Linked DNA regions of Arabidopsis thaliana. The protein of the gene in region 2 interacts with the protein of the main gene of each other region in a pairwise test. Each region holds a gene or a part of one and is shown on either strand. Other genes may lie near its edges.

Region 1 (3,632 bases), on a different chromosome or scaffold from region 2:
CACTCGAGAACAATATAGGCGAAGGAGATGTATGTGTGTTTGAGCTACTCAGAACTCGGGATTTCGTTCTCGAAGTCACCGCCTTTCGTGTCAATGAGTATGTGTGACCAAAAAAGATTTCCCTTTCATCAGCGATCTTGCAGGTAGCTTTCCAAAGTTAAAATTTTATGTAGGGGTCTCTTAACCATTCTCTCTCTTGCATTGGTTGTCTCTGTTCTAGTAGTGTTTTGAGTGAAATTTCAGGTTCCTATGTTTGGATGTGGATAAGTATTTGACGATTATAATAACCTCTGAGTGGGAAACTCTTTGTTTGAGTGGTAGCTAGGTTCAAAAGTAGAGTTGTATATACTTTTATCTTCATCAGGATAATTATGTTTATTTGAATTGTTGATTATTATGGGTTTGTGTGGGTGAATCCATAAATGTAGTTGGCAAAGCTTGTTCTAGTTGGTTTAACTGTGAGGTGTAAGATGGTGAAAATATCACGACAAAGGGGGAAAAAAATATTATTGTGTAAAACTTGCAGAATCATTTCACCGTTCTAAGGTTTACCAATCAAAGCTTGGATTTCTCTTTTTTGAATGAGGAATTGCTTTTGCTATATTTCAGACAGGGCAAGCTTTTTTTTCGACATACACATTACATCACACAAACTGATAACAGGATCTCACAAGTTAGCCAAGTTCTTACTACAAAGTTCTTGCCAGGCTTGACAAGAATTTCCACTACACATATTACACAACGGGTCTTAAAAATGCCAAGTTCTTACTAAAAATTAAAGCTTGCAAATCTGTTTAACGAGCTAGAAACCAGAAACAAAAAACCGAAGAACTATTATGTGGTTTAACGAGCTAGGAACCGCAGAGATCTTTGTCGGAGAAACATACTTGCATAAGTTCTTCTTCAAGTCCTCTTCCTCAAGACTCCTCATAGCAATCTCTTCAACATCATCTACTAGTCTACAACAAAGAAGAAGAAGAACAAGAAATCACATAAAAGATACAAACAAAACCCACAAATCCTTCTTAAGAAATGTCTTATAAACATTTTACCAAGTATTATGACATTCTCAGACTTAATGTTGACTCTTGGTTTCTTCTTCTTCTTCTTCAACAATTCATCCATATCAACAACTTCACCATCATCATCACTACTTTCAAAACCAGTAAACCCTTGTTCATCATCATCCATAACTTCTTCTCTATTATCATCAGTATCATCCAATGGATATTCAATCTCAGAAGCAGACACATCAAAGATCACAACACGGAAACAAGAATCCCCTTCGTAATGAAAAAACAGAAAGTGACCATCACTTAAAGAGTGAGCCTCTGCAAACTCACTCCAACCTTTCTCGAACCAAACCTCATCACCGATTCTTTTAATCCGAATTGATCTCTTGAAACCAACAGGAGTCTGGAGAGTCACGTTGTCAGTGAGTTTAGGACCAAACCTCACAAATCTAGCCGGAACTTTCTGTCAAAAATTCACACATGCAAGCAAGTTTCAATTATTATTGTTTTTAAATGAAAAAGATGAACATACAAAAAGTGGGTGAAATATTTTTTTACTGTACCATCATTTTTTCTATGATTCTTGAGAGGAGAATAATCTTGATGAATTTCTTCACCGTCGGTTCTGGCTCCGGTTTTAGCCGGCGTTGAGTTGCTGCCGACGTGATTGGACCCGGTGATCTCCGGTTAGTATGCATATTCCTCATTTGTGTTTGTTTCTTGCCAAGAAGAGATTTTTGTTAAGGAGAGAAGGAAATTGAAAAGTGAAGAGGAAGCACTTTAGATTCCCAAGAATCCTTTATTTAGTTTATTACACATTGGAAAAAGTTAAAAGTCTTTTAGATTCCCAAGAATCCTTTATTTAGTTTGTAATAAATTTTTCAACTAAAATCAGAAATATTAAAGTTGATAGAAAGTAAAGAAGATTATACTGAAAATGAAGTAAATACTAGAAAAACGGTACAAATGAAGTAAATACTAGATTTGTTAAATAAACTAAAATTTTTGTTGATCAGACAAAAAAAGAAGTAAAAAACCATATAAACTGTGGAGATATGATTATTTTTTCGTGACTCGTGATGTTAATTCCCTATATAGAAATGTTTGTTTCTAATTTATCATAAAAATCTTTCTGCATAAAATGTTTGAGTAACTGAAATTCAGTTAGTTACCGTCAAAAACTATTGTATATTACTATATTGCATGAGTTTTAATGAGTTGAATGGATGTAATCTTGCATTTTTTGTACGTAAAACGTAGATTTGCATTAAACTGATAGTTTAATTTGCAATATATTATCTCCTAAATTAATAATTTGACCCTAATGTTTAACTCTGTTAGCTTTCTTTCACCCTACATATTACAACTAAATATATATATATGAAGTATTTTAATTTATGGAGGTAAGGTGGATATATCATATATGCAATGATAAAAACTTGGCTGCTCAATCAAAAGTTTTATTTTATTTTATTTTGTTAACAAAGGATAGTTTGGGCTTGAAAATTAAATTTAAATATCTTATTGATCAACATTCAACACACAACACTAATTCTTGCTAGACATAAACAAAACAAAAGTTTTCACCGCAAAACTACGTTGCAGAAGATACCAAAACTATTACATGTACTTAACAACTATATAGTAAAAAAAATAAAATATATTCTGGTGAGTGTTATCATCGATAATACGCTCATCAAAATTTGTTATTGCACTAAAGCTTTCCATCATTTCTGATATCGGCCAAGCGAAAATAATAAATGGTTATACATGATCAATTATTTAGCAGTCAATATTTCATCAACACAACGTATACTCTTATATAAATGTACTTTTTGTACAGCCTCTTTTAAATGTACTTGATAAATAACCTTTCAATCATAGGTATATCATTTTAAGTGAGGGTTATATTTTGACATAAAACATATAAATTTGTTATTATCATCTACAACCAAGTTTTAGTGTTAATTTATTTATTTTATTTCTGTTTAGCAAGAATTAGGGATATATTAGTAAGTTATTAAATTTAATTTTCAAACTCGTAACCAAGTTGTTGCTATATGCAAATTTTTATTAGTTCACAAAGCATGCGAAAGGGTCCACTATCATTAGTGCGTTACACTCTGCCCCCTCTTATAAATTATGTAACTATTATTAGGGCTACTTATTAGTGTACTATATGTACATATTACATCATATTCAGATGATAAATTAAAGTAAGGAAAATCTATTGTTGATCGGAACTGGCCGGTGCTTCCACCGTTACGGTTGCAGAACGATCACTTCCTTGCCGGCAAAGACGCTCGTACTCCAACGATGACCTAATCTTAGGCAACACAACTTTACCGGAATACTTGAGGCACAAGGCACATGTAATGATAAGTATAGCAGACAACATCCAACTAAACTGCAGATTCGCCAATGCTTTTGCCCTAATCTCAGCACCAGGGGACTCACAAGCCACCGCACCACTATGATAAACACTCCTTCTATTATTGTCTGTAGATGTTGACATGTTACTCACGCAACCTCTAGGAACATACTCTGGGATCCAAAGCATGAACCCCATGTTCAAGAACCAGCATCCTTGAAACATAACCGATATCGGGAGGAATAGAG
Region 2 (3,374 bases):
GGAAATGTAGCGTAACTGTGAATATATACCTTGAAAACCCTAGGGTAGAGGTATATATATATGGGCCTTTTTCTTAGCCCATATAACAATATGGGCCTTTTGCTTATATATTCTTAGCTTTTAAGAAATTTGGACGAGAATCAAAAGTTAAATATTCTTTTTTTCTGTCTGTTAAAATAAATTATTTGTTTGTTTCTATGGGTTTTTAAAGAAAATTTGTTATAAATTTGGCCAACTCATCCATCATATACTTATTAATGTTTTTATATAAAAAAAAACGTATGCATTTTAATAAAATCAGGTTAATGATTAAGATTAAGGATGGAAAAAAAAAGTAAATCACAATAAAATATAGAAATAAGAGATAGGTCTCCGATGAAATAAAAATGCATAGTCAAAATCAACGAAACAAAATGACCAACTCAAAGTCAACAAAATAAAAAGATTTTTTATTCCAAAACAACGAAACAAAATGACCAACAGTTTGTAGAAAAAAAAAAGACAAACACAAGTTTAAAACAACAAAAAGAAAAGCTTTTTAAAGCTCCACAAACAAACAAAGAAACACAGTTTAAAGATAAACGCATACAAACTTAGAACACAAACCAAATCAAGAGTTTAGAAATGATGATTGTTAAAACCCGGCCACACCATGTTGGTATTAGACGTCGTCGCATCACCATTGTTTTCTCCAGCGGTTGTTACATTAGGATATGGTTCTTGGCGAACACCATCATTAGCCGTTATAGTGTTGTTGCTCATGTAAAATTGTGAGTTGTTAATGTTGATTCCTTCGTTTATTCCCAGCTCACTTCTCATGTAATCAAAAGGATCTTGGCTTGGTTGATTCATAGCCATTGTTGGATTATTGATCATGCTGTGATGTTGTAAAGGTTGGGAGACTGACCCAGCCAAACCTTGGGAAGTCATCATTTGGAGACGAAATGGATCCATTTCCAAATGAGGGTTTCCGTTGCTACTGCTTCCTTGATAAAGACGATAGCTTTTAGGGTTTGGATTTCCGTTCTCCATTTGTTGCGGTATTTCATATTTAGGTGGACTAGGTGGAAAAACCCATTCATCAAAAAAGTAATAACTTTTACTCTGCTTAAATATATCGGTGTTGATGAATCTTGTTGCTTCATCTGTCCTTCCAGCTCTTTTATTATCTTGACCGCCTCCTACAAAACCATCATTTGTGGTGGTTTTGAACTCTTCGACTTGTATTTCAAATGGAAACACTGGTGGATCGCGAAGAGGAGGAAATTGCATGAAAGCTAGTTTCTTCCTACAAAGTAGGATAGTATCTCTTGAGAAAGATAACAAGGCATACATCTCACTTTGGTTAAGATCAGCAATTTCACGACCGCTTTGGAGTTGCATCATCAGCTCATCAATGACATGCTCCTTGTTCTTCTTTTTACTCTTCTTCAATTGTTCTTGAAACTTATGTGTCTTCTCTTTTAGGTAGGATTCGACATTTGACTCTTTCTTCTTCTGCACGGACTTCGGTAAAGCGAAAAATTCGTCTAGGAGACCATGAGTCGCCTGAGGAGATGGCCACACCAATGGTCCAACCTTATCGGGGCTGAAAATGATTACAATAGCCCTTACAGCACACAATATGGTTAGCTCTTTCACCTTTTTAAGTAATCCTACCCTCATTTTTTGCAAACTTGTTGCTCTTGACTTGTCATTCTCGATCCATACAAGTTTTACTTTCTTTCTTGTCATGATCACTCTTCGATTTTTATTTCTCTCTTTTAAAATTTTAAATGTTGTTGAGCATATGAATGAAGATTAGCGCGGGAATCCGTTTAAATAGTGTTGAAAAGATGAGATTTTGGAAAATGATACTAGTCAAAAGATGTAAAATTAATTGCTACTTACTAAAAAATATTGAATGTCTATGGTAATGTTTTAGTTAAACCAAACCTTTTAGATCTAAACCAAGTTGAAAATATCAACTCAAAAACTAGAATTTTCCTATGTTTTGGTTATAAAGTTATTTTCAAATATCATAAATACCATAGAAAATTGACTAAAAATGAAACTTATTTTGCTAAAAAAGTAAAAGTTTAAGAACTGAATTCAAAGCTAATTAAAAATTTACCAAACTATATTGGATTTGGTTTTACATTGATTATTCTTTAAAAACAATACTAGTAAACAAAAACTAAAATCCAAATCAAACCATTAACATGTTAAAATCTTTATGTGGTTAATTGTACTATTACAGAAAATTGAAATAACTGAATTTCTGTCCAAATTTAGGTCCTAGTCAATATACCAAATTGATGATTTAATTAATTGTTCTGTCATTATTTAATGCTAATGATTATATTGACTAACATTATTTTCATTGTTGTGAATCATATTAATTCATAGTGTTAGATAATTATTTTGGAAACTAAATGTTGACTATACATTTTCTTCAGTGTAAGTATCATTTTCATATTTACATAGTATGAATTAAATATATATATATATGTATTACCATATGTATACATAAAAGTTGACTCTTGAATTCTTTATTTATAAATTGTTTTTTTTACTTCAGATGTTTTCTTGTTATTACATTGAGACTCTAAACTGAGAATTGTTTATAATTGTTTTATACAAAAAACTGAAACAACAATACTTTTAAGGGAAAAATATAAGAGAATAATATATTCTTAAAACTCTAATGGACATCTTGTATCTTTTTCTTTTTCTTTGTTTAGCGATCTTTTTTCTCTCATCGTTGTGTTGTTGTGGTTGAATGTTTTCTTTTGTGTACGTAGTAACTCTCTTTGTTTCTCGATTTTGTTTTTTTTGGATTCGGTTTGGTACTACTTTGCCAGATTTCAATAATACCAAGATATAGAGGAAAACAATAAAACTAAGCTTTATTCCACATTGTCTGGTGATCTTTCATAAACAACATTGTATGATTTGATTACCAAAATAATCGGTTCTAGAAAAGTTTATGTCAATCTCTATCTAGTATATGAATCACCATACCCATATTTGTGCACTTAAATTATTACGTAACCAAGATATAGAAAAGTGTTGTGATTTCATATAACAAATGAAAATATAATAATCTATTTTGTTGTGTTTTGTATATATAATTATTATAAATTAAATTAATTATTAATATTGAAATATTCATGTATAACCCAGTCAGATATGGGATTATTTTTAATTTAAATTTTGTATAATACTGTTAAAAGATTCGAAATATAATCATAAACAAAAAATAAAATTGATTTTTTCTTGTCAACTTCCAATAAACACCATAGTAAACAAGAAATCACAGGACAAGGGAAATACAGAAACGGAGAACTCTTTTTAGTCAAAGAAAGCTAGGATTCGGACAAAATCATGTCCAA

Evidence for each region. The genes of interacting proteins can lie anywhere in the genome.
Region 1: the proteins of AGL48 (region 2) and AT1G49475 interact in a two-hybrid assay, tested with the Arabidopsis thaliana proteins (one large-scale study listed by BioGRID).

Annotation. Positions count from the first base shown.
Region 1 is NC_003070.9:18,311,071-18,314,702, reverse strand, and holds AT1G49475 (AP2/B3-like transcriptional factor family protein), read right to left. Parts: upstream 1,821-3,632; 5' UTR 1,721-1,820; coding exon 1,577-1,720; intron 1,477-1,576; coding exon 1,053-1,476; intron 960-1,052; coding exon 955-959; 3' UTR 604-954; downstream 1-603. Other genes in the region: RTV1 (uncharacterized protein), read left to right, coding at 1-107; AT1G49470 (transmembrane epididymal protein (DUF716)), read right to left, coding at 3,241-3,632.
Region 2 is NC_003071.7:16,792,595-16,795,968, forward strand, and holds AGL48 (AGAMOUS-like 48), read right to left. Parts: upstream 1,735-3,374; coding exon 619-1,734; downstream 1-618.